4 linked regions of the Saccharomyces cerevisiae S288C genome follow. Changing the gene in region 2 together with the main gene of any one other region gives a genetic interaction. Each region holds a gene or a part of one and is shown on either strand. Other genes may lie near its edges.

Region 1 (9,753 bases), on a different chromosome or scaffold from region 2:
AGTCTTATCTGCCCCAAATTATATATACAAGTATAATTATCTCTCTCTATTTCTAGAATTTTCTTATATACTAAAGCTAAATTCTATGCCTTTTCGCAGCATGCAGAGGCGACCATATACCCCTCACACTACTGTTCAAGCTTTCCACGTTATCATTCTTTGTTCTTCTGCGTAAAATGTCTCCATCAGAATCCTTCAATAGCTTTAGCTTGTTTTCTACATTGTCAATGTTCAAGTTTCTCACACAAATAACTTTTTCACGCCCATTTGTGTATTCTGCCCTCAACAAAGGATGTCCAGACTTCCTCATCACTTCAAACTGTATCCATGGGAACTCCTGGCCCCATTTATCTAATCTCTTTGAAGTCAAAAATTTCCTCATGCCTTCCGAAGACCCTCCCCAGTTACAGAATTGCAAAGTAATCTTTCTGCATGGAAACACGAATGCTCCAACTCCATTACGACCTATGGAATTTCGTGCAATAGCTTTCACAACCATTTCTCCATATATTCGTGTCTGTGTATCTACTTAGTCATGGTTTATGATAATCGTATTGATTGATCTTTTTTATCTCAGGGCTTATGATTTGTTGTAATTCTTATGAGCATCCCTCATCCGAAAAAGACGGAAAGCACCGTAACGTATAGTGCGATAAACTTACAGAAAAGAATAGTATTATTTAAGGGAGTTAAATGGAGTTGTTTGATGATATAGGCAGATCAAACTACGCTTTACAGTCCAGTAAACTTAACAACGAAAAATGTGTTTAGTCAAAACTACGGCTCATTTGCTTTTTTATTCCTTTGTGTATGTACAGATTAAGACACAAGAAAAAATTTGAACAATTATGATTAATTGAGAATAACTGACTAACAACTTTTATGTACCAACTTAATCTTTCAGATTTGGAGGAACGACGTTTTATTCCTATGTAGCTTCTCCAATCGCATTCAAAGTTCTTGAAAAAGACCAATTTTCTGCTTTGCAAAATAAGATCTTCCCGTATTTTTTCCAAATGCAAGCGGCATCACCTGTCATCCTGGCCCTTACCGCTCCAATTGCCTTGACAACAGGACCATTATCTTCTTTGGTGGTTGCATCTGTCAGTGGGCTAACCAATTTGTTTTGGTTGTTGCCCTGGACCCATAAAGTTAAAGAACAAAGAAAGAATATTGCGAAGAAATACACGGGTAGTGAATTGGAAGCAAAGGATGCTATATTACGTAAAGAATTTGGCAAGTCGCACGGATTGAGTCTTTTGTTCAATCTTTCTAATGTTTGCGGGATGCTTGCGTACGGTGTTTGTTTGTCAGGTGGTTTGTTAAGAAAAATTCCAAAATAATTATTTTACAAGTAAATATATATATGCAAGATCATTTTTTCGTCATTCCTTTGCCAAGGTGGAGATGAAGTTCGCAATCGGAATTTTTTGACCCTCAATTAAAGAATAAGGGACTCAGTTCTCTGCTATCCTGATCTTGGCTAAAAATAACTAAAAGGGGAATTGTGCTGTTTGTAGGATCTTAAAATAAAAGAGAACAATATTTATCTTGAAGTTTTTTCTATTTTTTTATTTCTACAAGCTTTTCTTATATATAGACCTAGCAATCCTATATTATTAAGCCGGAAAATCGTAACGAATAAAAACGAATAAAGGAGATACTAGAAAGGGCCTACTTTTTAGCAATTTGAGCTTCTAAATAATTTTTTAATTCCTGTGCGAAAACTTGAGATCTCAATTTATCAATTTCACTTTCATCAACAACAAGATTCAATAAATCTTTGTATTGCTTTTCTAATTCAACTTCATTCTCTTTATGTAAAAAATCGTAATCACCTGTATCGAGATCCAAATCCACCAAATCACCATCTCCAAGTCCAAAAGATCCAGAGCTGGATGGCATAACCAAGGAGTTTATGTCACTCCAATTCTTTTGAAGTATGCCAGCAGCGTGTTTGTTATTTTGTTTAGTACCTTGTTTAACCTTCAAATCTAACAACTTCTTATAGATTTTTCTCGCACCAATCTTTTTATTAAGAACATTATTAACTTGAACTTTCAAAAGTTTGACATCAATATCGATATCATCTCTACAAATTAACTTATTGAAGTCGATCCTTTCACTCGGTCCTCCGAATTTACTCTTTTGCAAAAATTTCACTATCGTAGTAATCCAAGTAATAAAACCTTCAAAAATGCCCTCTGAATCGTTCAAATATACATCATGAATAAACTCAAAAAAGGCATCTTGATGTTTGGTTACTAAGTTATGGATTTCTTCCACGACATCGAACTGTGTGGAAACGCCCAACTGACCATTGATAACATCATCAACAAGCCTGATCAAATCACTCATGAACTTCTCAAAATTTTTCAAAGCAACATCCATCCTTGCAACTTTGAAGATCTTGACCATAGGTTCGTAAATCATAGTGACAATTGCCTTTAGCATTTGGGTTAACTCAGGATCTTGCCATAGCTGCCTCATTAGCTGTTTATCATGTTCTTTAATATACAATTGCCATAAATCTTTGACGTGTGTGAAATAAATACCTGACTGATCTTCGCTGGTTACATTCAAGGCATCCGTGTCTTCTTTTTGCAGTTTCCATGATGAATAGGATTCAATAAGTCCCGCGACAACCTCGTCTGGAATTAGATTTGCAGCTGCACTTTTCATTAATACTATCAATGGTACAGGCATGTTCATGGATTCGGATTCTGCATTTACTGCGTCCATAGTAAAGAGTTTAGTATCATGCTCATCCTTAGTATCATTATTAAAGACAAAATCCTTCAAGCATTTAGTCACAACTGAAGCGCCCGGGTCCATCTCAGCAATTTTCCTTTCTAATTCCTTTATAGCTACCTTTTGAGTTTTCAAATCATCTGTTAATATCGTAGAAAACATTGTTTGAAGGAGCGAATGACCACCGAAGGGTTGTGCCATAAATAATTCAATCATACCCCTCATGATCGCTATTGGATTAGTAAATTTCATGATCTGTCCCATTACTGTGTACGGCATAAGCTTATGTAACCGTCTTATTTGTGTATAGAGTTCATAACTGTTATCGTTACCCAGAAACATTTGATAAATCATTGAGGAAATATAAATCTTACACCATTCCACAAAGTCTTGTAAAAGTGGTGACAGGTCTTCAACTTTCGTATTGTCCTTGATTTCTACTAGTAGACTCATCAAGTATTTTTCATCTTTTAACAGGGATGTTTTGAAATCTTTCATTGAGTCTTGCAGCTTTAAAGACTTTTCTAACGCCATCTGTTGGAAACGTATTTGGTTCTCCAAATTACTTACATCTATCAGAGCCCTGTTTCTAATGTCATCTGCTATTTTCGGATTTATGTCCTTAATATCTAAATTAGGCCCACTTAGGAAGAAGCGACGAATAGATGAGCTTTGAGAAACCTCTGCATCTTTACACAAAGTCCTTAAATATTGTCTTAATGAAGTTCTCATTTTTTCACCCACCAAAGTATTGATTTTTGAATCGGATGCATCTTTATATTCATCAAAATCACTTTCTTCACCTTCACCTTCTTCCTCATACTCGTCCTCATCAATATTATCTTCTTCCTTGATCTCATTTAGAATATTTTTTCTCAACGTTTCAGTTTCTTTTTCTGTGAGTACTGTTTCTGTAGCAGATAATTCATTCGTTGTCTGTAAAAATGAAGAATTATCAGACTCTGATGCAGATTGTAAATCAGTGTCAAAAGTGTTGACGATTTTTTCCCTGGCTGCTGATTTAGTTTGCCCATTGTGTAACACTTCGGTTTTAGTTATCATAGACGTCACTTTTTTATTTCTATGAGGTAAGCGCGGACATTTCTTCCCCGGAAATTCTGATTTTAAATCATGAGATAGTTTTTTGAAGTCGCTGTATGTTCTTGTCACATAGAAATAACCAGCATGGTGATCAAGATTACTATTCTCTTCATTGCTGTTATCTTGGTCGTCGTCATCTTGCTTCTTAATCTTAATCAAGAAATAATGATGTTTTCTAGATTGCTTGCTCTTAGTTGAAGGCACGCCAAGGGATAATTTCGAAAATAAAGATGCTGAGGATTCGGGCATACTATTTATGGTACTGTTAATAGTGTTGTTGAAGGCATTCTTCATCCATTTAGAAGTGGAAGCAAATGATTTTATAGCATGGCTTTTGGGACTCGAAGTTGGAGTAGATTTACTAGACTTGTCATTATCCACACTTTCAGTACATTTCCGTGAATTCTTATTGAACACGGATATAATATTGACGTCCCAACCGTTAATAAAAACGGATTCGTTAGTGAGCAAATTCTCTAAATTTTCTCTAGTTGGCATTGCAAATTTCTCAATATTAGAGCGTTTTCTCGCTTGGCCTGACTGTAAAACGAATTTATCCTCATTATAATACGCTTGCTCTTGAAAAGAGCCAACACCGGAGTTAAAGAGCAACAAGATAACCTTTGATAGCTTTTTGGAAACTTTCTTCCTTTTTGAAGCTTCCTCCCTGTCATAACTTTCACTAAACCCAAGACTCATGAAATGTTCAAAGAACACTTGAACCTTACTCTGCCAGAATTTTTCATCAACTAGCAAATTTGTTGAAAGTAAAGGAAATGTGGATATAAATTCTTGCAAAACATAACTCAGCATGGGATAATTAACGCTAAAATGGCCTTTGCCACCGAGCACTGGTGATGAATCGTTATTGGAGATAGGCTGTGGAGCTGTCGGATCGTTTGGTGAGAAAGGATAACCGAACTTTCTCAAAGCAAACTGATCGTTAAGCTTTCCAATTTCATAATCCAATTGACATCGAAGCAGTTCCCTCTTCAGGTAGTGTTCTTCCGTTGGATTTAAAGCAGGAGTGTCTTGAGTAATCATTTGAAGACTGTCTATTTTTGATTCTTTAGTACAATTATCTTCAACCACTGATTTCAGTACACAATTCCGACCACAAGGTAAGGTTCGTTTTTCTTTTTTTATAGAGCCCAATGCACAGTAATTGGATGTAGCTCTTAAAAAAGAATGAAAGCTAGAAAGTGATCAATTATTCGAAAAACACTTTAATACGTTCCTTGTTCACGCCTAAAAAGTTAACTGTCAAATGGTTAACGTACATTTATCTGTCTTATGAGAGGCGAAACAGGCGTAAGCATTAAAAACCCAAGGCCATCTCGTCCTTTTTCTTGTTTTTGGCGTAAAGGAGATGTTGAAAATATTAGGAAAAGTGATATAGGGAACGAAAAGAAAATAGACGCTAAGTTCAACAGGCTTCAGTATAATCTATATTACAAGCCTCTCTCGCACCACAAGGCCGGTTTATTGTACAAAGAACTCTTCTTCAGAAGCTGCTTCTCTTATACTACCTGCTCATTAGACTTTCAGGGTAAAAGGCACCAAGTGGAAAGAAAGGCAGTAGATATAGTACTTTGAATTCTTTTGACATCGCAAGGTTACTCGCATCCACTCCCTATTATTTACTCTGTTTCAACTCATTGTAACTTCATTTTCGCTAACTTCCCGCCAGACCAGCTCTTCAATCCACACTTGCCAGATAATGAATCAGTCTATTTCTTCGTTGATTAAGCTTAAATTCCTTCAATCACACAGTAACGATAAAAATGGCAACAAAAAGGGCGGAAGCAATGTTTCAACAGGCATAGATAAATTAAGAGAGTCGGAAAGTTATAGAAGTCCTTTTCTTCAACTCGCAGAAATACAGGAACACACTAATAATGACGACGATAAACTTGATGTAAAAGAATGCGAGCCCACAAAAAAACACAGCAAACTAAGCAGGATACGGCGTAAGATGGGTAGGTTAGACTTGAATTTCAGGTCAGCCAATGAAAAGGGTTCTGAAGATGATGAAATCTTGGTTGCACAACACCTCCGTAATGGACAAGATCCTGAAGAAATGCCTTTCAAATCAGAAAACAACATAGATTCGATAGAGAAAGTTCCCAAGCCCGATGGTGAGAGAGTCACGCTTACTAGCTCCGGGTCTGATAACGTAAAGAGAAATTCAAAACACGCCCCATTCATTCCTGTGAAACCTGCTCTAGAAAAATTTCCTTCTTCTAATAGATTGTCAAGAGATTACAGAAAATCACAAGAGCCTACCCTGTTTAACGGTGATAGATTAGTTCCTACTCTTCCTACTGTGAGTAGGATATCGACATCTTCTTCCGTCGGTTCCTCTACAGCGGCTTCAAGATATTTCAATCCGTCCAAAAGAGCTGTTGTTGCATCATCATCATCATCGTCGTCGTCAATAAAATTCAATTCGCTGCACGCAATACCACTTGATGCAACTCCTCAAATTGAATTGGCAAAACAACAAGATGAGATCTCCAAAAGGAGGTTCGGAAGAAGGCGCAGTAGAACTGTTGACGTATTTGACTATATTAACAAAAACAATACAGCAAAGAACAAACCGCCACTCTCTCCATCTTCTTTTATTAGGACTATTGACGAGAAAAATACAAATTCTCTTATGCAAGACCCCATGGGATCCCGCGGACCTCTTTTGCCCGATGATGCCAATATTATAAGCAATGATACAGATGGAGCGGAAGCAAGTCACCCAGACCATCAGGTTTTATCAAGGTCTCGATCTCAAAGTACGTCTTTTGTTCAAGGCAAGGGCGGCAAGAGAAAATCAATTGAAGATGAAGGCTACCATAACAAATTGGGCCTACCTCATGGATCAGGCCCTACTTCAGTTTACAACAATAAAAGCAATGCCAATTCAACTATTACTGGAATGTCAAGAAGAAGTAGCTCAATTGTGAATGCTTTAAGTAGTTTTGTTAACCTTCGCTCCTCCAGTTTATCATCCTCTAGGCAACAGCACCTTCAACAACAACAGCAGCTACAACAAAAACTGGATGTCTCGCTGGAAGATCTACCACCGGTTCCCGCGCCTGAATTTAGTGATTCTTGTAAGGACTTCTTGATTAAATTAGCGCCCTACGGAAAGTTCATTGGGATCATTTTAACGGAAAAAGATGATGAGTTCAAAAAAAATTGTTTAAACTACCTATTAACGAATTGCTTCGAATTTAAAAATGACCCTTTAGATATTGCCCTGAGGAAATTGTTGATGTTTTTAGAGCTTCCAAAGGAGACGCAGCAAATTGATAGATTGATAATGGCTTTTAGCTTTGCATACTATAAGGCCCAAAAGAGCTATTCTAAGAAAAAAGGAATTGAGTGCCCCTGGTCTAATGCAGACCAGGTGTATTTTATTGCATTTTCCTTACTAATGTTGCACACTGATTACTTTAACCCCAACAATAAAAGCAAAATGACAAAGCATGATTTCGTGGATTTAGTCCATAATGACAAATACTCAGGAGGTAATGAGATCCCTATGGCCGTTTTGACATATTTTTATGAGAATGTGACAGCCAAAGAGTCGCCGAAATTTAATTACTTTTTGATGTCACCAATGGCGTTGGACGATAGCATCCTTGATAAAGATGCATTTGACACAAATTTTGCTATCACATTATCTTCGAATTCGATGTATTCTCCCATAGACATGATAAAAAGGGGGAGTATAATACCCAAGGAAGCTTCCCTTTCCCCAATCTTTTATCCGCTAACGAATTCAATTAGTGCATCTGGTATTGCCCCATCTACGGCGGCTTCTTGCCCACCAAGTACGTCGGGTACTATAAACGGGGCCAACCTCGGAACGGCTAACAGTAATAGCAATAGACCGGCTTCTAACTCAATATCGTCTTATTTTTCATATAATCCAAGCTCTAGTTCTAGCGGAAATGCTACGTTAGTTCAAGATGACATTAACGTTTATTCGCACATTATAAATGATACATTAAATGAAGTAAATCTATTTCCAGAAGTCTCAAAATATTGGAATAAGAATGCTCTGAAGGCAAATTTGTTGAGAAATGAAGAACATAAATACGAAAAATATTATAGTATTATGAATGATACTAAAGGTGGGTATTTACGCTTTCACAAAAGTCAATTGAATAAACTGAATTTACCTAATTTTGAAATATTGAATGATAATAGCCGGTCTGGATGCAAGAACTCCGATTATAAGTATTGCAAAATCCTTCAAATGGGAGCAATAATGAATTTGGGGATGCCCAGTAGAAAATTTTCTATTGTTAACTCCGCTAAAATTCATTGGAAAAAGGAATTTGCCATATTAACATCATTGGGGCTTTTGATCTGCGATAAAATGGACTGGATAAATCCACAGATGATGAAGGACCCAAAATCAGGAACTACAAACTATATAATTGATTTTAAATCAGGATTTTCTTTTGTTCCGGGAAGTACGATTGACGTGTATAACGGTTTATTTGCTGATAGGGAGCGAGATTCACTTGGGAAATCTCATTTCGCAAGTTTGGTACTTGCGTATACAGAGCATCATTCTACTGGGAGTCATACAAGCAACACAACTGCAGCAAGTAGCTCCGCCAAACACAATGAAGGAGTCTTCGAGCCATCTTCAGATGAAGAGGATAGCATAACGAATTCTACTGATGGTACGAGCAGTGTGAGTAACGGCGAGAGTGACAACGATAGTGTTTCTAGTTCAGATAATCAACTCAGTTCAAATGACAGTAATGAAGATTATCATTCCATTAAGGACGAGTATCCGATTTTCGAAGACGAAAATGCCGATTGTCTATTATACTTACATACATGTCATCGAAATTTTATCTGGAAATGTGCTAATAAGTATGAAAGGGACAACTGGATCGATTCTATCAATCTATTTTCAGCATATGACGGATGCTATGTGGAAATTGGTAGTATAGCAAACACTATTTGTAATAAGAGAAAGCTTACCATTTTGCAGAGGATGGAAAGACTTAGGTCTATAAAATCAGCCAAATGGGAGAAATTGAAAAAATTTGAAAGCACTCTGATGCTTATGGGAAAATGTGTTCCTATTAGCACAAAGACTAAGACAGATATGATAAACCGCATAAGACAGCTGGCTGTCAGAATGGACTGGTTAATCTACGAAATTAAGAGAAGCGAGCTGTTTGTAAGTATCATAAAAGAAGTGACTCGCAAGCAGGCTGAAAAGAATATCTTAGAGCATGGTAAAGGAGAAGAGGAGGGGCAAGGCAATAACGACGATAGTGATGGTATAGATGATATAGAGGAAAGCTTCTTATTCAACGAGAACAGTTTGCAAGTGTGCGTGAGCGACAGTAGTTACGACGAATATAGTAACGAATAAGGGGAAGAAAATAGTACCATGGGTTATAAATGCATGTTATTTATTTATATATTTTTACATATTCTATATGTATGTGTTATACCTTTTTCTTTTTCTCGAAATGTCTATCCAGTCTATTGCTGCCAAGGTTTAAGATCCTAGGACAGCCATCTTTATCTTTACCTAAGCGGCAGCACTCCCAACAATAGAATGCGTCATTGACTCCAACATTTAGATTACAAATTATACAATTTTTAGCTTGTTTACCAAACGAACAGTTTTCACATACTCTAACTTTCCTTTTGGGCCTTACATAAGAGTCGCAGATAGGACATTTGCCATCACATTTTTCACAAAGAAGACCTGTCTGTACACCAGGCTGCTTTAGGCACATTATTAGATCAAACTGATGGCGGGACATGTTTTTTTTGTTGGAGGCTTGTATGTGTGTGGATCTTTTTTGTATCCATCTTCATTTTCTATGTTGAATGCCTTAGTAAGTGAGAAATATGGCAAGTAAT
Region 2 (6,882 bases):
AGGTATTTTTGCTTTGCTTTCGTTCTCAATTCTACTAAAAAAGTGGCCTAGATTATACGCAAGCAGACGATATAAAGATGACGGGAACCTTCGCTTACCGTCCTGGAATCAGTCAAGTTTATTCGGCTGGTTAACAGTGTTGTATAAGATACGGGACGAACAGATTCTGGAATATGCAGGTTTAGATGCGTATGTGTTTTTGAGTTTTTTCAAAATGTGCATCAAATTACTTTCTATTTTTTGTTTCTTCTCTGTGTGCGTTATATCTCCAGTAAGATATCATTTTACTGGAAAAATTGATGACGGCAACGATGATGATGACAGTGAAAGTTCTTTAATACATCTGGTAAAAAGAATTGTGGAGGGAAGTGGCGATGGTGACAATCATTCAGCTCCCGAACGTACAAATGTGTACCTCTGGATGTATGTTCTCTTCACATATTTCTTCACCTTCATAGCAATTAAAATGGCAGTTGCGGAAACAAAGCACGTCGTAAGTACTAGGCAAGCTTATCTTGGGAAGCAAAATACGATTACTGATAGAACGATAAGGCTCTCAGGCATCCCGATAGAGCTTCGTGATTCGGAAGCCTTAAAGACCAGAATTGAACAATTAAAAATCGGCACCGTTTCATCAATCACTATTTGTCGAGAGTGGGGTCCTTTGAACAAGCTATTTCATTGTCGGAAGAAAATACTCAAAAACCTGGAATTAAAATATTCAGAATGTCCAAGGGAGCTCCGTACTCGACAACCATATTCGGAGAACTATCATTTATTGGGAAACGAGCAATCAGGCGCAGTTACACATGGAGAAAATGTTCCATCAAGCAATAATAATGACGAGGATACTATACTATATTCTCAAATTTCTCTTGGAGAGAGACCAAAAATGAAAATTGGATATCGTGGTATCTTTGGGAAGGAAGTAGATGCCATAGAGTACCTGGAGCAGCAATTAAAATTTATTGATGCTGAAATTATTGAAGCGAGGAAACAACACTACTCCGCAACACCTACGGCATTCGTTACGATGGATTCTGTTGCTAATGCGCAAATGGCAGCTCAGGCGGTATTAGATCCTAGAGTACATTACTTCATAACCAGATTGGCTCCTGCACCTCACGATATCAAGTGGGATCATGTTTGTCTTTCTAGAAAGGACCGGTTAACAAAAGTTTATTCTACTACCGTATTTATAGGCCTTTCAAGTTTGTTTTTAGTCATTCCTGTATCATACTTAGCCACATTGCTAAATTTGAAAACACTTTCGAAATTCTGGCCAAGCGTAGGGCAGCTACTAAAAGATCACCAGTGGGCCGCTAACATTGTAACGGGGCTATTACCAACCTATCTCTTCACATTGCTTAACTTTGGAATCCCCTATTTTTACGAGTATTTGACTTCTTATCAAGGATTGGTATCATACAGCGAAGAGGAAATCTCACTTGTTTCAAAAAATTTCTTTTATATTTTTGTCAACCTTTTCTTAGTTTTCACATTGGCAGGTACAGCATCTAATTACTGGGCGTACCTCAGCGATACCACCAAAATTGCTTATCAACTTGCTACATCTGTGAAGGAGTTCTCCTTATTCTATGTCGATTTGATTATATTGCAAGGTATTGGTATGTTCCCGTTTAAGTTGTTATTAGTTGGTAGTTTGATCGGCTTTCCTCTAGTGAAAATCAAGGCTAAGACACCTAGGCAACGGAATGAACTTTACAATCCACCGATATTTAACTTTGGACTACAATTACCACAGCCAATTCTGATTTTGATTATAACGTTGATCTACAGTGTAATGAGCACGAAAATTTTGACTTCAGGGCTGGCGTACTTTATTATTGGGTTTTACGTCTATAAATATCAATTGATTTTTGCCACAGATCATTTGCCCCATTCTACAGGAAAAGTATGGCCATTAATTTTTAGAAGAATCATCGTTGGATTGCTATTGTTTCAATTAACAATGACAGGAACACTGGCAGGATTCGAAGGAGGATGGGTTTTGTCATCTTGCCTTTTCCCGCTTCCAGTAGTGACATTATGTTTCCTATATGATTTCGAGAAGAACTATTTGCCGTTGTCAAAATATATCGCATTGAGTTCAATTCGCGAGTACGAAAGAGACAATTCTACGGTGAATTCTGCCAATGAGGAAGAGTCGTATGCATACCCTTACGCTGTGAGTGAATTAGAGGGTCCGATGTTGGATTGAAATCCCAAGGTGCTATTTCTATATTTATATATTTTGTTGTGAAAATGCCAAAATAAGATTTTTGATACAAGTAATACTGGATATTTTTTTATTTGCTTATAACAATAAATAAGTTCCTGACTTCTGTAGTAGTAGTATAAACTCCTGATGTATTAAATTCTTAATAACTGAAAAGTTAAACTTTGCCACGAAAACTATAAGTATTGGCTTAACCATGAAATATCGTAATAAAGACACACTTATAAAAATCTTTATGATATTCCAATAGGAAAGATTAGTTACAATCTTCAACGATTCAATAATATAGAGATTAGCTACCCACTTAATGATACTCATCGAAATTAGAGTATCATAAGGCCATATCAACATCAATATCGGAAAAATTTTGGCACCGTACGATAATAAGATCGTATATGATATGACATCCTTTGAAGAAACGGAATAGTGCTTCCAATGCAACTTTTTCAGTATGAAATACTGGGTAAAGGTGTGGAATAAAGAAACGTCAAGAATACAATAACTTGCAAAGTAAAGATATTGTATTGGTGGGCTCCAGGTAAACACTTTACTTGTAATGGTATTGCGCATGATTGCCGAGTCCCATTTGAAGCTCTCTGGTAATTTTTTTGAAAGCATGATGAGCTTACCATCATTATTGTTACGGTTCAAATAGTAGATGTATTTACTCTCCTCAGTAACCCAAGTTAAATAAATCTCGAATGATAATAGTAGAAGCCAAAGGCGATTTAACCGGTCATATTTACAAAACCAGTTCTTTACGTTAAATAACAAAGCTTGCGTATAGTCACGCAAACACTGGCAATCATTTAGCGCTTTTCTTTTCGGATATTTTGAGAGATGCAATTCCAAAGCATTGAATACCAAGTGTCTATATGCACCTGCTTTTAATAGAAGCAAATCAATGAATAACAGGACATTATCTATCTCAACATATTTGTCTACTGTCTCTTGGCAATATGGACAATCTGTCAGCTGAATGTGGTCATTCGAGTACACTGTATAAAGGGAATCTACGGGCCGCATGCACGTTATGCAAATCATCGTTTATCACAGCTAATATCTACTTTTTGATGCGCTTCATCCGTTCACTGACGCACCAAACCTTCCTTCTATGCAATGACAAGAATTTCTCAGCTTGATTTATGCCATTGATGTTTCTGAATCATCAATTGTTCACATAGGGCTATTCAATTTGGCCCGCTGTCCCTAAACTGAAAAAATACTAAGAAAAATTTTGCAAAAAATCTAAAATGATGAGGTGAAAGATCAAAAAAGAAAGATCAATAATTAAGAGGTTGGCAAGTCATCCTGATCGTGAAAAAAACTTAACAAGTACAAATAGAGTAATCAGCATTGGAAAATGTCTCGCGTTGGTGTCATGGTATTAGGACCTGCAGGTGCGGGGAAAAGCACATTTTGTAATTCCATTATATCACATATGCAAACTGTAGGACGAAGAGCTCATATTGTAAATTTAGACCCTGCCGCAGAAGCTACCAAGTATGAATTTACTATTGACATTAGAGATTTAATTTCCTTAGATGATGTCATGGAAGAAATGGATTTGGGCCCCAATGGTGCGCTAATATATTGCTTCGAATATCTTTTGAAAAATCTAGACTGGCTTGACGAAGAGATCGGGGATTTCAACGATGAATATTTAATCTTTGACTGTCCCGGTCAAATTGAACTCTACACGCATATCCCTGTCTTACCGAACATAGTGCGCCATTTAACTCAACAACTGAATTTCAACCTTTGCGCCACATATCTTTTGGAAGCGCCATTTGTGATAGATAGCTCAAAATTTTTTAGCGGTGCACTATCTGCTATGTCTGCGATGATTCTATTGGAACTACCCCATATCAATGTGTTGAGCAAACTAGACTTGATAAAAGGCGACATCAATAAGAAAAAACTGAAAAGATTTTTGAATCCCGATGCAATGTTATTAATGGAAACGGAAGGAATGAATCAAGCATCCAACCCTAAATTTCTAAGACTGAACCAGTGCATAGCCAACCTCGTCGATGATTTCGGTATGGTTCAATTTTTACCTTTGGAATCTAATAATCCTGACAGTATAGAAACCATATTATCGTATGTCGATGATATAACACAATGGGCAGAAGGACAAGAACAGAAAGAGCCTAACGACCAAATAGATGTCGAAGAATAGTTATAGAGAAAATTATGTACGCTTGATTCATATAAAAAGAGGTAAAAAAAAAAAATAGCTTCTCATAATAACCAATTCGGACTCGGGAAAGTACAAGTTCAAGTTTTTTATTGGTTTCTATATGTATAAGATAAAAATACCTAGATCTATTTAATTCTCTGTCTTGGGCCACCTGGTGATTTCTTATTCCTGGCTGTTAGGATTTCAACACCATGTTCGGTAACCAACAGTGTATGTTCAAATTGAGCACTCAGTTTACCGTCTTGGGTGGTAGAAGTCCAGTCATCAGGCCAGGTCATATCCTTCCAAGTACCTTCATTAATCATAGGTTCGATGGTGAAAACCATACCTGGTTTCATAACACCAGGTGTTCTATTCTTGGCGTAGTGGGGAATATTTGGGGAACAATGGAAAAATTCACCAACACCATGTCCACAATAAGTTCTTACTACACTGCACTTATTTTCGGTAGCGTGTTTTTCAATATGATCACCTAACTCTTGGAAGGTGGTACCTGGCTTACACATTTTAATGGCTAGTTTCAAACATTCTCTTGAGGTCTCAGTAGTATTAAGAGCTTCCTTAGAAATGTTTTCGCCGACATAATATGTCTCATTCAAGTCTGCATGATAACCTTGGTAGTATAAGGAAACATCTAAATTGACAATATCACCTTCCTTCAAGACAGTTTTATCGGGCACACCGTGACAAATAACTTCATTGACAGAGGTACAAAGCGATTTAGGAAAGTTGTAATAATTAAGAGGGGAAGGGTAGGCACCTCTCTTAATTGTTTCATTGTGGACGATTTCATCTAATTCATCTGTAGTGATGCCTGGTCTGACATGGGCAGCGGCAATATCAAGAACTTCTCTACCCAACATACATGCCTTTCTAATCTTCTTAATTTGATCTTTCTTGTATATAGGGATGTTGTTAAGTCTATCATTTCTTTGTTCACTGACTGGTAGCCCATTAGCGGCCCAGTCCGGTTTAGGAATATCTTCAGGGACATACCTTCTTGGGGTAAGTGGATATGAAGCCTTCACTTTACCAGAATATTTGAATTTTGGGAAAGGATCATAAGCACCTTCCAAGCCGTCCTTAGCATTGTGCAAAGCTTTGTGAGCTTTGTAGTTGTTTTCATAACAGCTTGTGTCGCAGAAAATGGAAACGATGCCTTGTTTTAGACAAACAGGGCATTTCATTTGGGACGAAGTTTCTCTACCACATTGCAAACCGGAGCAATATATCTTGGTAGGATGAGAAGCCTGATCGGAGGTAGTAACTGTTGTAGTTGCAGTGCTCATTATACAATTTTTTTGCTTATTTTTTTCTTGCTAGGAATATACACAATAGCGTTCTTGGGATGAATAATAATAATATCAGTTTTTCTTCTTTATATGAAAAATGAAAAAAAAAAAAAATAAGTAAAAAATTTTCGCTTTCTTTTCGGGGAGCAGCCAAATAAAGATTGCTGCTAGTTTAAATGAGATGGACCAAAAGCCATGGGCAGCAGTTCTCCCATTGTCATGACTTTAGAACGAGAACCTGTGGAATTAAGCATGACTATTGGAAAGTCCTTGACCACAAATTCATTGATAAACTGCCTGCAAACGCCGCAAGGGGAAACACACTGGTCCTCAGAATCGCCACAAATGACCATGCATTTCCATCCTGAGCGATGGCCTGCCATTAGAACTTGTATCATAGCAGATCGTTCTGCACATATACAATTACTGTAGCTTGCATTCTCGACATTAGCACCAGTGAAGATAACATCGTTATTTGTTAATATGGAACAACCGACACGGAAGTGAGAATAGGGGCTATAGGAGAGTTCACACGCCTTCAGTGCCGCCCTTTTTAAGGCTTCCAGTTGTCTGTCTTCTATGCCACCTACTTTCATTACCTTATTTCTCTGCTTGAGATTCTCTGTTTGGTTTTCCTAGTTTCTTGTACATAAACAGTTTGTGTTTATTTTGTCAAACTACTCGGAAATTGGCGAGCAGCGCCTTATCAAGATTACAGTTTGCAAATATAAAAATGTAAAGGAAAGAAAGCGTAAGGTAACAAGAAGAGAAACGGGGAAGATAATGGCCTTGGTCTCTAGAAGGTCGACAAGATCGGAAAGCACCTCAATAACAAAGGAAGAGCATACAGGAGAAGGTTCATTGACGAAGTTGTTCTTCCGATGGCTTGTTACCTTGGAGGGTGATCAGGATATAAACGATGGAAAAGGTTATATATCGTTACCGAATGTCTCGAATTATATATTCTTCCTTGGTGGCAGGTTCAGGACAGTAAAGGGCGCCAAACCGTTGTGGTTAGGTGTTCTCCTTGCTATTGTATGTCCCATGGTTCTCTTCTCCATATTTGAGGCTCACAAATTGTGGCATACCCAAAATGGTTATAAAGTGCTGGTCATTTTCTTCTATTATTTTTGGGTCATAACGCTAGC
Region 3 (7,606 bases), on a different chromosome or scaffold from region 2:
TATTCTTGCATTTATTTTTACTTTTTTTAAAAGGAATTTCTAGTGGTAAGCTATTGTCACTGTCACTATCCTCTTCATCATCATCTTCCGCATATCCTTCATCTGTTTCGTAGTCATAGTTTTCAAAGTTGTTCATAAAAATTTTATTAAAATCGTATGGTGACGCATCTAGGAAATTGGAGTTAGAACTCGAGTGTTGCAAAAGGTTTAGCTGGGTATTGACCTTAGACGCGAAATTCGACTTGACTGAACTTGAATTAAAGCTCGATACGGCATCCAAATATCTCAATTTATTCAAACTTATTAACAATCGTTGCTCTTCTTGTGAGTAATGGATTGTCTCAAAAGGAAGTAATTTGAAATTGATTTTGAGGATTTGTAAAAAAGGGTTTGTGGAAAATTCATCATAGTACCATATTGGACACCAGTGATTTAAAAAGTTTTGAAATTTTTCAAACTTTATTTTACTTGAGTGGGGCTGGTTTTGACCACTTTCGTATTTAAGTGATAATGACCAATTGTTTAAATTGTTTAAACATAAGTCAATAATGTCAATACTATTGAAGGGCGTAAAATGGTAGAGATTTAGTTGCTGTGGTTGTAACTGTTGATTATCATCATTATTAGAGTCATCTGTAAGAATTAAAAAATATAGGGACAATATCTCTAACGAGATATCCTCTTTCTTCAAATCTTGGTCCCCTTCCTTTAAAGTCATTAATTTTAAACTCAAGTAAAATAAAGTTAATTGAATCTCCACAAAATCAGGTTGATTGAGTTTGTGATTTAGACCCGTCAAATTCTTAAGTAGTAAATTTGTTGTTAGTTTTTTATTTGAACTGGATGTTAAGAATCGGAAGTTATCGTGATCACTCAAATTGTGATAAAGGTTCCACAGTAATAAATTTTTTTTAAAGCTTTCCAGTTCATTCTGGAAAAATTGGAAATTTGGGTCCGAAACATTTAAAGATGAGATATTCAACAAATTACATCCATCCAAAGAATATATGATGAAGTTTAACAAAATTTCAAAGGGCTTCAGCCTGGGGATTTCTAGAACCGAGATTGATTTCGGTTGAAATTCTTCAGTTAAAAAGTTGGACTTTGGTAAACCTTGAATTAAGGACCACCATGAGCTTAAGAATTGAAAGCACCAAAATGTCACTATTCTATCATCCTCTTCATTAGATTTATTATTATTATTGTTGCCTGATATAGGAATTAAATTTTTGGGATTTATGTACAATCCCATATTCAAAATATTTGTAAAGTTTAGGTTTAGCAAATCATTGGTCCATATTACTGAATTTACATTTGAATGTTCTGTTAACGAGCTTTTACTTTTACAAGAGTCAACAGAGGCGCCCATAAAATAAAAGATGGATAAGTTAACCAATTGCAAAACTTTCAAGTCTAATTTGCTGTTTGTTGTCAGAGAAACAATAAGCTTCGTGACTTTAAAAAGCTTGAAATCATCAAAACAAGACCAAGTAAATTGAATAATATAAAGTAACGCCAGTAGAGTTATGGGTTCACCTGTCATTGCGGTTGAATTAATCTTGTCTAATAGCAAATTTTTCCATAAATTTGTAGGGTATAATAGAAGTAGCAAAGAATTTTGCCTTTTAAAAAAATCTTTAATAATGACAGACAACAAATTTTTCAAAAACTGAAGGTTATAATCATATTTAAGTAAAAGAAAATTTGGGAGATGATTAAAGTCACCATTCAGGTTCAAAAAATTTGTTAACAGTTGCAGTTGTAGATCAATATTATTTCGATCGTCTGTAAAAACTACTGCTTTTTGAGTAGGAAAAGTATTAGTTAGAATATTCCATGTCAAATGTCCCAAAAACCTTTGATTTTCAGACTGAGTGTTGTAATTATCAAAACAATAAAATGTATCATTAATGAACGGCAAATTAGAATTTGCATTGGCGCTGGAACTCGCATTCATATTTGTCAAACGGACGACCTCTTTTTCTAGTAGTTCTGTATACCCCTTTGGAAGACCTCTCCTCGACAGTTTATCCGAGGTTTTGCAAGGGAAGTCAATTTTCGCACAGTTTGAACAGTTCGGTTTTAAACCGTCACACTTGATTTTTTTCAGTCTGCATCTATCGCAAGCATGCGCCTTTCTGACAGAGAAATCAGTGATTGCGTTAGAGGAGCTTTGACCGGTTGGTACTATCAGGACTTTATTGCTGCAGGAATCTGTATCATCGAGGGAATAAGACCTGCCATATTTCCTCTTGGCCATCGTCTATTCAGAGTAGCGAGAAGAAAAAAAGAAGCAAAAAAAAAAAAAAAAAACGAGCAAAAGAAATCGAGCAAAGGAGAATGAGCAAAGGATAAACGGAAAACAATGGTAAAGAGGATTAGCCGCTGAACTAGATTGTAAATTGAAGCGGAAAAGAAAACAAAGGAGAGGAAATCGGAGAGGCAGAAAGCTTTCTGCCTTATATACTTTTTTTTTTGCCGCCGAGTTCTGAGATCACGCCCTTAAATTTAGCCGCCAAAACACCGGTCGAACGGCGAAAATGGATCGGAGTCTTGATTGCACCCACACCTCGCATTTTGTGCACTAACATAAAATATGACGAAGTGAGAGTCATGACACACAGAATAACTTAAAAATACTTGAGGAAAAAGTTCTCATATTATGAGGTCATAATAACTACATCGTTATTGTTGCGATATAACTTCAATGTTTTCTGCCTGCAAAAGAATCCTTCCTTTTCCTTCTTTAATTGAAGAGTCCATGTAACCTTGTTTCGTTACTTATATTTATTCACCTTTCTACTTTAGTCACATAACGTAATCTGGGCATAATCATTGAGGTATCATTATTAGCTTGAACTCGTGGTTCCTATTGTCGCCAGGTTTCTTTCAACGCATTTGCTCTTTCCGCTTCGCATACGGCGGTGATCAAATGCAAAACTTACCCTCATCAGTATAAGAGAAGAAAAACTGCATGGACTATTCGCGTATTGCCTGGTAAAGCTATATAGTACTATTGGTAATGTTTGTACTGTTTTATGTACATGATGAATAAGAAGAGACAAATTTTACGTGATATATAAGTCTTCTATTTCTAGTATGGCAGGTATTTTATCAGTAGCATTAATATTACTATGAAGCCCTTTCAAGGAATAACATTTTGTCCGACTGCAATAAATAATGAAATCTTAGCTAAAAAAATATCAAAGAAAATTATTAAGTTAGGAGGTATATTTTCTAAAGATTTGACCAGACAAGTTAATGTCCTTGTTGTTGGGTCCACCACCAATACAAACAAATTTAAATTTGCGGTGAAGCATAGATTCGATATCATATTTATTGACATTCAAGCCATTGATGACATTTATCAGCTCTGGCTGTCTGGAGAAAATATATTGCCGGACTCTAATACGGCAACAATGACAGGATCCACCTATGAGATGCTGAAGATACTTTACCGGCGATTTTCGTTTAAATATTTGCATAACTTCAATATCTTCATTGGCAGAATAACCGACACTAACATAACTTCCATCGATTCATTGGTTAGGAGTATTAAAAAGTTAGGGTGTTCTAGTTATAACTATCAAAACTTTGTAATCAAAGATACCTCTTCACACAATGATGACGATGATCAAGGTCAGAATGGGCAGATATCCATTTTTGTTACGGATACTTTACTAGGAGCAAGAGTTAACGCTGCTATTGAACAAAATATACCTATTGTACATTTCAAATGGATTCTCGATTGCCAAAAAAGAAGCGCACTGTTACCGTACGATCCCTATTATCTTTTACCAAATATTAAAGACCTGCCCTATGATTCAATCGGATCAAACTCTTGCGATTGCTGGGATAAAATAAACACCACCTTTCCAACCAATATCGATGCCCAATCCTCTCTGCAGCGGCAGCAATCCTCCAGTACCCTGACTCCTTCGCTCCCGAAAACATCATCCCTCTTGAATAAATTTAAACCAAAGGGTGAAAAAATATGGGACAAGGCAATGTCTCTACAGCAGCATAGTAAGACAAATTTTTCAGTACTAGGGCAGTCACCATTATCGATAAATAACAAACAAGAAGATTTAAGTGATAATAGTACTTTGATTTTCAAAAATTGTGCGTTTATCATTCATCATATTTTTCCTGGCAATCACCGTTCAATACTAACCAAAATTGTTGTTCAAAATGGGGGTAAAATTGAGACGTCTTACTTGAGCGGCATTTACGATCATTCTTATTACATCATTCCAAGTAATAAAGCTCTTGACTCCTTCAATGATTTACCTGAGATTATAGATGATAATGATGGTATAGTTACAGAATTTTTCATTGAACGCTGCTTGTATTATCAAAAATTACTACACCCAATAGATTTATGGTCAAAACCCTTCCTCAGCACAATAGAGTTTCAAGTTTCGTCTTCTTCAAAGTTATTGCATCATGAATTTTCTTCTTCCCCTTTTCTGAATGTTACTATCACTGGATTCTCTGGCGTAGAGCTGTTACATCTGACTAAAGTATTAAATCTTCTAAAACCAATGGGCATCAATTATGTAGAATACCTCAATAAATCCACTGACATTCTGCTAATCAACTTAGCAGCTTTACCCAGTATCCCGAAAACCCATCCGTTATGGTCGAATGAATTTAGCGATCTTTTTACTCAGTTTTGCATTAATAACAATAATGATGATCCTGGTGATAATAACAGAAAAGATTTTCAAAATAATTCAATCTTGAGAAATTCGATGAAAAGGAAAATTGAATATATCAAGAAATTCCACTCCATACCGGTAGTTACTCCAGCATTTATTTTTAAATTATTGTCCGCTGCATCTGGAGAAAATAATGAAATCTTTTTAAACAATATCAAGTGGTGTATTATCTGCCCAAGAGGACACAAGGACGATTTTAAATGTAAGATAAAAAAACCATACTATACCAGCATTAGTTCAGAAAAAAAGTACCAAAACAATGATCCAAAAATCGACAAAACTATTCTTTTGAAAAGAAACAATTCCTCATTATCGGAGCACTCTATGAAAGATACCAAAAACGAATTATTGCAGAAAATTAGAGAAACTGATTCTGGAAGAAAAAAGCGTAGTGTCTCATCGAGTATCATGGATGTTTCTTCAGAGAGACAAATGCCGGATACGAAAAGGATCAAGTTGGAGTCACTGCCAAAAAATTTCGTTCCTAAACAAATTAAACGAACCACGAGTTGGGGCACAATAATGTCAGAAAATGTGCCTACAGAGCAGCCGACTGCAATTTCTAATCCAGAAGAGATCCCAAGAACTGAGGAAGTTTCACATACTCAAGTTACCTATGGCTCCATTCAAGATAAGAAACGTACTGCCTCTTTAGAAAAACCTATGAGACGACAGACAAGAAATCAGACAAAGGAATTAGATTCTTGAAATGTAGTCCGTAATTTTATAAGATATTCATTTACATACGCCATCTACAGCATTATTCAAATCTACTCATCTATATGTATTACCGTTTTGTATGATAATACTTTCCATGACATGCTCGCGTGAAAAAACAGCATGAGAAAAAGAGGATCGCAATAAGAAGACACGTAAATATCTAAATAAATGGCAACAGTACATCAGAAGAATATGTCGACTTTAAAACAGAGAAAAGAGGACTTTGTGACAGGGCTCAATGGCGGTTCTATAACAGAAATTAACGCAGTGACATCAATTGCTTTGGTAACTTACATATCATGGAACTTATTGAAAAATTCCAACCTTATGCCTCCTGGCATTTCCAGCGTGCAATACATAATTGATTTTGCATTGAACTGGGTTGCTTTGCTTCTATCTATTACTATTTATGCTAGTGAACCATACCTTCTAAACACGCTAATACTGTTACCTTGTTTGCTCGCATTCATATATGGAAAATTTACTAGCTCGAGTAAACCTTCTAATCCAATATACAATAAAAAAAAAATGATTACACAGCGGTTCCAACTAGAAAAAAAGCCGTATATTACTGCGTATCGTGGTGGGATGCTTATTCTGACTGCTATTGCCATCTTGGCTGTAGATTTTCCAATTTTCCCAAGGAGGTTTGCCAAGGTGGAAACTTGGGGGACATCCCTGATGGATCTTGGTGTAGGATCATTCGTTTTCAGTAACGGTATTGTTTCTTCTAGGGCACTGTTGAAAAACCTAAGCTTGAAGAGTAAACCCAGCTTCTTAAAAAATGCATTTAATGCCTTAAAATCAGGAGGAACTCTATTGTTCCTAGGATTGCTGAGGTTGTTTTTTGTAAAAAATTTGGAATATCAAGAACATGTCACAGAATATGGGGTTCATTGGAATTTTTTTATCACCCTATCATTGTTGCCACTTGTATTGACCTTTATTGATCCCGTCACAAGAATGGTTCCACGCTGCTCAATTGCAATATTCATTTCATGCATTTATGAATGGCTACTTTTAAAGGACGATCGCACTTTAAACTTTTTAATTTTGGCTGATAGAAATTGTTTCTTCAGTGCTAATAGAGAAGGCATCTTCTCATTTCTAGGTTATTGCTCGATTTTTCTTTGGGGCCAAAACACGGGATTTTACTTGTTGGGAAATAAACCAACTTTAAACAATCTTTATAAGCCTTCTACGCAAGACGTAGTTGCAGCATCAAAGAAGTCTTCGACTTGGGACTATTGGACTTCAGTAACCCCATTAAGTGGCCTCTGTATATGGAGTACAATTTTTCTTGTTATCAGCCAGTTGGTTTTTCAATACCATCCTTATAGTGTTTCAAGAAGGTTTGCTAACTTACCATATACTTTGTGGGTCATTACTTATAATTTACTATTTTTGACTGGGTACTGCTTGACTGACAAAATTTTCGGTAATTCTTCGGAATATTATAAAGTTGCCGAATGCTTGGAATCAATCAACTCCAATGGGTTGTTTTTATTTTTGTTGGCAAATGTCTCTACTGGTTTAGTCAATATGTCTATGGTCACGATAGATTCTTCACCCTTAAAATCATTCCTGGTTTTGTTGGCATACTGCTCATTCATAGCTGTCATATCGGTTTTCTTGTATAGAAAAAGAATATTCATTAAGCTATAATAACACACCATCCACATTTCCATGTAGTTCGTATACAAACCCTACCAGTAAAATAAAATTAACTCCTATGTGCTTTAAATAAAAATTATAAACCGCCTCCAATAGTTGACGTAGTCAGGCATGAAAGTGCTACTAATCGATGACTATGATTTCACCGTTGTTTAATTTTGACTTTTTTTTCGCACGTGACAGCTGAGAAAATATATCCATTTGACTTGATGCAGGTTCATTCTTCACCTTTTTGGAAAATTTCTGTGTCTTTTTCATTGCTGCGTCAGCCAAAAACTTAGCATTGGAGATTATTGGACGATTGTCAACTGTAGTGTCATCCGGATTATGTAATAACTCAGCAGCTGTTGTATTTCTGCTGTCATCTTCCTCAAATTCACTCTTCAAATCTATCACTTCCTCCACCTTAACCTTGTCACCTCTCTTAGACTTTCTATTTCGAGTTTTTGGTTTTATTTTTTTCGTCTTTTTCGAGCCCAAAAGCTCTCTCC
Region 4 (8,180 bases), on a different chromosome or scaffold from region 2:
TAAATAAGAAGTCATTTGGATTTCCATGGGTTAATATTCTCAAATATTGCAAATACACGACGAAGATATAGACACCAGTACCGGTCAAAAGATGCCACCAAGCATGCAGTTCCAATAGAACACCTAATGGCAGGGCCAAATATGTTCTCCGGATATAGATCCAAAAAGAACACAGGTGAATATCTAGTTGCCAGCAAATGAACCCAATGACAAAAGGAATCATGCCCATAACCATAGTAATAAAAAGATTTTTCTTTGCAAATGAATCATGAACGTGATAGTAGGTCAGCCAGCCAGAAAGAACCACAACTAGAAGCGTCAATATACCATAAAGGACTTGGAAAATTGCTGGCTTTTGGACGACAACGTAAATCCAGGTTAAAATGGTGACTATACCACACATGATAAAAGAAATGACCATTTGGATTCTAAATGAGCTTTCCTTCCTTTTCTTCTCATCCTTAATCAAGATTTCTTGAGTTTCTGCAAAAATACTCCACGATGGGATGATGGTCGCATACAGCATTGGTAGTTCGTCTAGCAATTGATAACGATACTGTAAAGTCATATGAAATAACCACGAACCAATACCAACCAGCGAGAACCCCATTCCTATCAATATATACCTTGTTTCTAACTTATTACGCCAAGCGCTATATGTAGAATAGAAGGCGGTCATTAAGAATATACTATTGGTAATAGTATTTGACCATTCTGCAATATAGGGGGATACGACATAATTCTCCTCGCACCAATCAATCAGAGAAGTTGGCTTGCCCCAATAACCTTCAATCGGGGCTTCTGGATAAGGCCAGCTGAACAGCATTTGATTTTTTTCTTTATCTTACTTTCTTAAAAATTCACTAGGTTCTATGATATATCCTTTTGCTTAAATTCTTGAATTGAAAAACGAAGAACAATGCAGATAAACCAGATAGTTATTTCCTTTTTTTTTTTCACTATTAGCAAATATTCAAAGATTGAAGCATGCAATAGAAAGAAAGCAAGCGAAGTAAAATAAGAAAGGCACACCTGTCATTATGGCATTATAAAAAGAAACTGATGGATAAGTTGCTTTCAGGAAATCTGATCCCCTGATTCTGTAGGTTGGCGTACGCTATCGGACATGCTATGCCACTCTCCGGGAACGAGGGATTTAAAAAAGGGACATGAAGTAATATGAGCCGAATGGCTACGATCAGTAAAAATCAGCAGGTGTCATGTTACAGTATATATGATTCTCGTTATTTAGCCTTCTATATATCAGTGGGCCCATGAAAATCTAACTTAACATCTTTGCCTCTGGGGTTTGTAGGGCTCCTCGAGGTACTTTATCTCTTCTTCTGTTAGAGTTACTTGTAGTGCGGCAATCGCTTCGTCTACTCTTGCTGTAGTGTTCAATCCCACAATAGGGTGACATCCTTTATGCAAAACCCATGCAATGGAGAGCATAGCCATCGAGACTTTTTTGTCCTTCGACACCTTTTCCACACGATTTATAATTTCCTTTTGTTCTTCTTCGAGATTATCCAAATGTAACGACTTGAAAGTTGGATCACTCTTAATCCTGTCCGTGCTTTGGTTCAGAGGACGAGTCAACATGCCTCGTGCGTTAGGAGACCATGGAAGTAAACCAATATTGTGTCTTTTGGCAAAAGGAATCAATTCGCGTTCATCTTCACGATAGAGCAAATTGTAGTAAGACTGCGAAGAAATGAACTGAAACCAGCCATATTTATCGGCTGTGAACTGCAGTTCTGCAAATTCAGTTGCCAACATACTCGAAGCCCCAATGTATCTAACGTGGCCCGCTTCAACAACATCATTCAATGCCTTCATGATCTCTTTCATTGGCGTTTCATGATCTAATCTGTGAATTTGTAAAAGGTCTATATATGTGCCCAGTCTTTTCACAGAGTTCTCGACACCAGCAATTATATGCTTTCTGGATAAACCCCGCTGGTTGGACAAGTCCAATTCTTCAAATTCATTTAAAGTGAAGTTATGATGCAAATCAAGCGTTTCATCAACTGGGAAGTAAATTTTGGTCATAATCACCACCGTTTCTCTCTTTATACTGTAGTACTCCAGAAACTCCTTAATTATTCTTTCACTCAAACCATTAGAATAAAAATCTGCTGTGTCAAAAGTACGAAGACCTTTATCGTAACAATGCTTCATAATCTTGAAAATTTGGGTCTTGTCCTCTATGACCCAGTCCGCCCATTTCTTGGACCCGTATGACATACATCCTATCACTATCGGTGATATCTTAAGACCTGAGTTACCGAGTCTTACCTGCTTAACTAAAACCATTTCTGCCGCCTGATGTGGGTCTTCCGTAACAGCCAAATTACATAGTTGGCAAGACAATTAATATATGATACCTTGTTCTCTGGGTCCTAATATATATATATATATATATATATATACGAAAAGGCTGAGAAGAATAAGGCAGATGTTAGCTTAGCTTCTTTTACTCAAGCAATGAAAACAAAATCGAAGGGAAACAAATTCAAACCAAGCGGCCGAGTTATCTCCCGTTCCTAACCTACTACACTAATCACATTTTTCCGTGGAAATAACGTTATTGAAAATGCGTTCTTGCCTGCCATACGTGGGTGAAATACTTCCACGTTCGCAAAAAATACTTCCACGGTGACGAAGTCTGTCTCAGTCGTATATTAAATGCAGAAATCGTCTTATCATTATTGGGCTCTCTTAACGGCGCAGCATCACCGGGTGATGAATGCCAAGCCGCAGAAAGAAAGAAAAAAATTTACTTCAGATTTCTGATAAAAATAAAACGGAAGAGATGAAAGCTAATAATAGAAACAGCTCGATCTTCCTCTGAACAATAATAATTAAAGGACAGACAAAAAGAAACGTAAGAAAGAAGCGAGCCTGTTCTAAAGTGTTCAACGACTGATTCAATTAGAACTGCCTACTCCTGATAGCCAACTCAACTTTTGACTCGTTAAAGTAATTGAAAGCTGGCAAGCAGAATTATTCTTTTTTTTTTTCAAGGTTTCTATCACGTTGTGAGGTTAATATCCCCCGGAGCAAACAGGCTGAAGCGTGAAAAAAACTTAAATATTAAAGTGTCGCAAAACTATACTATAGATACAACATGGGTAGACGGAAGATTGAAATCCAGAGAATTTCTGATGACAGAAATAGGGCTGTCACGTTTATAAAACGTAAAGCTGGCCTTTTTAAGAAGGCCCATGAACTATCCGTTCTTTGTCAAGTAGACATAGCCGTCATTATACTGGGGTCCAATAACACGTTCTATGAGTTTTCCTCTGTGGATACGAATGATTTAATCTATCACTACCAAAATGACAAAAACTTGCTTCACGAAGTGAAAGATCCTTCCGATTATGGAGACTTTCACAAAAGTGCATCCGTTAACATAAATCAAGACCTACTCAGGTCGTCTATGTCAAATAAGCCTTCGAAATCAAATGTTAAAGGAATGAACCAGTCAGAAAATGATGATGATGAGAACAATGATGAGGACGACGATGATCATGGCAATTTTGAGAGGAATTCAAATATGCATTCGAATAAAAAAGCCTCTGATAAAAATATACCGAGTGCACACATGAAGTTGTTATCCCCGACCGCACTCATTTCAAAGATGGATGGTAGTGAGCAAAATAAACGTCATCCTGAGAACGCGCTGCCGCCTTTACAACATTTGAAAAGATTGAAACCGGATCCTTTGCAAATAAGTAGAACTCCGCAACAGCAACAGCAGCAAAATATATCGAGACCATACCATAGTAGCATGTACAATCTTAACCAGCCTTCATCCAGTTCATCTTCTCCTTCCACGATGGATTTTCCAAAATTACCAAGCTTTCAAAACTCTTCCTTTAATGGTCGTCCTCCACCCATTTCCATTTCACCGAACAAGTTCAGTAAGCCATTTACAAATGCATCCTCAAGGACCCCTAAACAGGAGCACAAAATTAACAATAGTGGCAGCAATAATAATGACAACAGCAACTACACTCAGTCACCATCTAATTCTTTGGAAGACTCTATTCAGCAGACTGTCAAAGCAAGAAGGAAATTGTCCGCCAGACCGGTACTTCGTGTGAGAATTCCGAACAACAATTTCAGCAGTAATTCCGCTATTCCAAGTGAACCCTCCTCTGCCTCCTCCACATCGGCCAACGGCAATAGTATGGGCTCTTCGCAGATAATGAAAGAAAACAAAACAAGTAGGTCTAGCAAAATTTCTCCACTATCCGCATCTGCCTCAGGCCCCTTAACTCTCCAAAAAGGTAATAATGGCAGAATGGTAATAAAATTGCCAAATGCAAATGCGCCTAACGGTTCTAACAATGGTAATGGCAGTAACAATAACAATCACCCTTATCCTTTCGGAAGTGGGTCTTCACCTCTTTTTTCTGCAACACAGCCATACATTGCCACTCCCTTGCAACCATCGAATATTCCTGGCGGACCTTTCCAACAAAATACATCTTTTTTAGCTCAAAGACAAACCCAGCAATACCAACAAATGTCTTTCAAAAAACAGAGCCAAACAGTACCATTAACTACAACATTAACCGGACGCCCCCCTTCAACTTTTTCCGGCCCTGAAACCAGCAATGGCCCTCCAACTGGTTCACTGCCATCGAAGTTCGTACATGATTTGATGAGTAATTCTCCAAATGTTTCTTCTATATCGATGTTTCCAGACTGGTCAATGGGACCCAACAGTGCCAAGCCGGGAAACACAAACAATCCTGGTACTTTCCCTCCCGTACAGACGGCCGTAAACAACGGCAACTCCAGCAATATCAGCAGCACTAACAACACTAACAACAACAACAACAATAACAACAACAACAGCAGCAACAACAACAGCAACAACGGCAACGACAATAACAGTAACAATAGCAATAACAGTTACTATAGTAATAATGAAGATGCACCCGTAAATGGAGCTGCTATTTCAGAACATACTACCGATGGTGACTCGAACAATCAGTCCAACTCAAGTACATATGATGCTGCTGCCACCGCATATAATGGAAATACCGGGCTGACTCCATACATAAATACTGCTCAAACACCACTAGGCACTAAATTCTTTAATTTTTCGACTGATATTTCAGGAGAAAAAAATTCAAGCAAAATATAAACCAAAAAATTTGACCAGTATGAATATTCCAAGCATAAGAAACTTCTTTTCATTTAAAAAATTTATATTTATATTATTGTAAATGCACATATTTACGTAGTGAATAACCCAAACAAGGAAGAAAAACGAAAAACTCAATTGCATTTTCTGAATAATGATAGTATTTAAGTACTCTTTTGTGCATTAGCAACTAAAATGAATTGCCGCCTGGCCTGGAGTTTGATGTAAGCAGAAGCCGGAAGAAGACAAGAGGTTCATTCAGAGAAAACATCCGTACATTCGAGTTCTCATTGAACCCATACATTTCAACTATTTTTACATAGTTCGTTTTTCATGTGTAAAATTGTCATCGACGCGCCGGAGCATCGGAAAGTTGGAACGTGCGCGATTGCACCAATCCCACTGGGGCCGTGCATTCTGTAGGCAGGAAGCCACTGGACACTCTGCCCGTTCCCACTTGGAAGATTGGCGTAATTCCACGCTCCTCTATCGATTCTAGCGGGAAAGTTATCTCTCCTGGTAAGCGTTGGAGGAATGCCGCTACCTAGGTAAGTCTACTGGGTGGGAATTCCAGTACCGACGTCTAGGAACATCATGATGCTGCAGTTTCTTTGAAATTTCATATACAGTGTTACCAAGGATAAAGTGGTTAATGCTTATTCGTCATTGAATTTTTATATTTGCTTAAGAGAAGTGACAAAAGAGTGAAGACAGACTATACATCATGAAGGTATGATTTATGATACTATTATTGAGGGGCAACAGAGAACTTTATATGTGGAAAAATGGCATGAAAGTTTGAAAGTGAGAAAGAACTAAACAGAACCAGACGTCGTAAAGATTTTAGAAATTTTTTATGGAAAGAAGCAGGAAGACTACCATATACTAATTGATGCGTTTGTGGCGTTATTTTTAAACAAACAGAGCGGGTTTACATATACTGTTACTACAAACCGTGAAATTGAAGCAGTTCATATACTTGGAGTATAGTCAATAAAAGACAAGCTTTTTCATCTTCCACTTAATAATTTCTCTAGAGTAATAAACTTCACCCTATTCAAACATTAATTTTGCAATAGTATACTAACAAATTTTCTTAATAACCTGTTGAAAATTTAAAATAGTTGAACATTTCTTACCCAGTTAACGGGTCTCAAAAGACCTTCGAAATTGATGATGAACACCGTATTCGTGTTTTCTTCGACAAGAGAATCGGTCAAGAAGTCGATGGTGAAGCCGTTGGTGACGAATTCAAGGGTTACGTCTTCAAGATCTCTGGTGGTAACGACAAACAAGGTTTCCCAATGAAGCAAGGTGTTTTGTTGCCAACTAGAATCAAGTTGTTGTTGACCAAGAACGTTTCTTGTTACAGACCAAGACGTGATGGTGAAAGAAAGAGAAAGTCCGTCAGAGGTGCCATTGTTGGTCCAGATTTGGCTGTCTTGGCTTTGGTCATTGTCAAGAAGGGTGAGCAAGAATTGGAAGGTCTAACTGACACTACTGTTCCAAAGAGATTGGGTCCAAAGAGAGCTAACAACATCAGAAAGTTCTTCGGTTTGTCCAAGGAAGATGACGTTCGTGATTTCGTCATCAGAAGAGAAGTCACCAAGGGTGAAAAGACTTACACCAAGGCTCCAAAGATCCAAAGATTGGTTACTCCTCAAAGATTGCAAAGAAAGAGACACCAAAGAGCTTTGAAGGTCAGAAACGCTCAAGCTCAAAGAGAAGCTGCTGCCGAATACGCTCAATTGTTGGCTAAGAGATTGTCTGAAAGAAAGGCTGAGAAGGCTGAAATCAGAAAGAGAAGAGCTTCTTCTTTGAAGGCTTAAAGTTAGAAAGCAGTAAAAGATAAATTCTTTTGTTCAAAAACTCCTTTCTTATTCTGTATTTTGTGTATTTTTAAGCTTAAAATCAAATAACTTTATTTTTTATATAATTAACAAAAAGAAAAATAATCATATGTATTGTAAACGAGAGTCGGAATGTATCCTCAACTGAATATCCAAGCGAGTCCACAGTAGCTAATAGTCTGAAAAAAAAAGGAACCCTTGTCCTTGAACAGAAATGACAAAATTACTACGTATTTCAGGATGCTATATAAGATTGTTTACAAGAGTACAAAAGTCCAGTATAGCAACAGCAGATTGGACGTCTAGTTTCGTTGCTTCATCTCATAGTAACCAATTCTTCTGCGCTAGTCGGATGAATAGCAACACAATTATCGAAATCAGCCTTAGTGGCACCCATCTTTATAGCAACACCGAACCCTTGCAAGATTTCTGCAGAGGAATCACCAACAATGTGCAGACCGACAACCTTTTCATTTGGTCCCGCACAAACAATTTTATATCTTGTGGGTGATTTCTCACTCAACATAGCATAGTACATGGCGGTAAATTTGGAATTGTAGACCTTTATATTCTCCTTACCGTACTTTTCAATGGCTTCCTTCTCAGAAATACCAATGGAACCGGCTTCAGGATGTGAGAAAATTACGCTGGGGACGTTCTCGTAATCTAGTTTGTCATTACGGAATTTCTCTGGACCAAACAGTCTATTAGACAGCTTTCTGCCCGCTGCAATAGCGACAGGTGTCAATTCAACTTTTCCAACAACGTCACCTAGAGAATAAATGTTTGGAACATTGGTGTTCTGATATTCATCAGCAATTATTTGGTCATGAGAGTTCAGCTTTATACCTACATTTTCTGAACCCATACCTAGATGGGATTTACGTCCAATTGTCCAAATTAATTCGTCAACGTCATCGATGGACTTTGAGTCATTCATATGTATTTTCAGTTTGTCAGTTTCTACATTTTTCTCCACCTTAACAATTTTGGATAGTTTATGAACGTTGATGCCTTCCTTTACGTAATGGTCAGTAATAGTGTTCTGGATGCATTCATCAAATTTTCTCAAGACAGTTTCACCTCTAATTACCAAGTGCGTTTCGGATCCCAGCCCATGGAACACACCTGCTAGCTCAATACCAATATAACCAGCGCCAACAACAACA

The links.
Region 1: mutations in ARV1 (region 2) and SYT1 together harm fitness more than expected from each alone (negative genetic interaction), as found in Saccharomyces cerevisiae (4 studies listed by BioGRID).
Region 3: mutations in ARV1 (region 2) and GWT1 together harm fitness more than expected from each alone (negative genetic interaction), as found in Saccharomyces cerevisiae (4 studies listed by BioGRID, with this or other methods).
Region 4: mutations in ARV1 (region 2) and RLM1 together harm fitness more than expected from each alone (negative genetic interaction), as found in Saccharomyces cerevisiae (3 studies listed by BioGRID).

What each region holds. Positions count from the first base shown.
Region 1 is NC_001148.4:720,537-730,289, reverse strand, and holds SYT1 (Arf family guanine nucleotide exchange factor SYT1), read left to right. Parts: upstream 1-5,572; coding exon 5,573-9,253; downstream 9,254-9,753. Other genes in the region: mitochondrial 54S ribosomal protein mL43 MRPL51, read right to left, coding at 77-499; YPR099C (uncharacterized protein), read left to right, coding at 177-533; TMH18 (Tmh18p), read left to right, coding at 762-808, 905-1,343; LEC1 (Lec1p), read right to left, coding at 1,675-4,896; YPR096C (uncharacterized protein), read left to right, coding at 5,146-5,448; U2 snRNP complex subunit RDS3, read right to left, coding at 9,330-9,653. UniProt on the Saccharomyces cerevisiae protein: Guanine nucleotide exchange factor for Arf GTPases, stimulating the nucleotide exchange from the GDP-bound to the GTP-bound form. Catalyzes both the GDP release by and the GTP binding to ARF2. Has no exchange activity on Rab GTPases.
Region 2 is NC_001144.5:620,601-627,482, forward strand, and holds ARV1 (sterol homeostasis protein ARV1), read right to left. Parts: upstream 3,284-6,882; coding exon 2,318-3,283; downstream 1-2,317. Other genes in the region: CSC1 (Csc1p), read left to right, coding at 1-2,221; putative signal sequence-binding GTPase GPN3, read left to right, coding at 3,603-4,421; methionine aminopeptidase MAP1, read right to left, coding at 4,568-5,731; CDD1 (cytidine deaminase), read right to left, coding at 5,902-6,330; palmitoyltransferase ERF2, read left to right, coding at 6,518-6,882. UniProt on the Saccharomyces cerevisiae protein: Mediator of sterol homeostasis involved in sterol uptake, trafficking and distribution into membranes. Also regulates the sphingolipid metabolism. Required for growth during anaerobiosis and sterol uptake.
Region 3 is NC_001142.9:260,580-268,185, reverse strand, and holds GWT1 (glucosaminyl-phosphotidylinositol O-acyltransferase), read left to right. Parts: upstream 1-5,633; coding exon 5,634-7,106; downstream 7,107-7,606. Other genes in the region: SIP4 (Sip4p), read right to left, coding at 1-2,260; protein kinase activating protein DPB11, read left to right, coding at 3,135-5,429; DNA helicase SRS2, read right to left, coding at 7,239-7,606. UniProt on the Saccharomyces cerevisiae protein: Probable acetyltransferase, which acetylates the inositol ring of phosphatidylinositol during biosynthesis of GPI-anchor.
Region 4 is NC_001148.4:376,101-384,280, reverse strand, and holds RLM1 (Rlm1p), read left to right. Parts: upstream 1-3,130; coding exon 3,131-5,161; downstream 5,162-8,180. Other genes in the region: YDC1 (alkaline dihydroceramidase), read right to left, coding at 1-826; YPL088W (aldo-keto reductase superfamily protein), read right to left, coding at 1,288-2,316; 40S ribosomal protein eS6 RPS6A, read left to right, coding at 5,886-5,891, 6,286-6,990; glutathione-disulfide reductase GLR1, read right to left, coding at 7,328-8,180. UniProt on the Saccharomyces cerevisiae protein: May function as a transcription factor downstream of MPK1 that is subject to activation by the MPK1 mitogen-activated protein kinase pathway. Binds to the DNA sequence 5'-CTA[TA](4)TAG-3'. At least some RML1 target genes are involved in cell wall biosynthesis.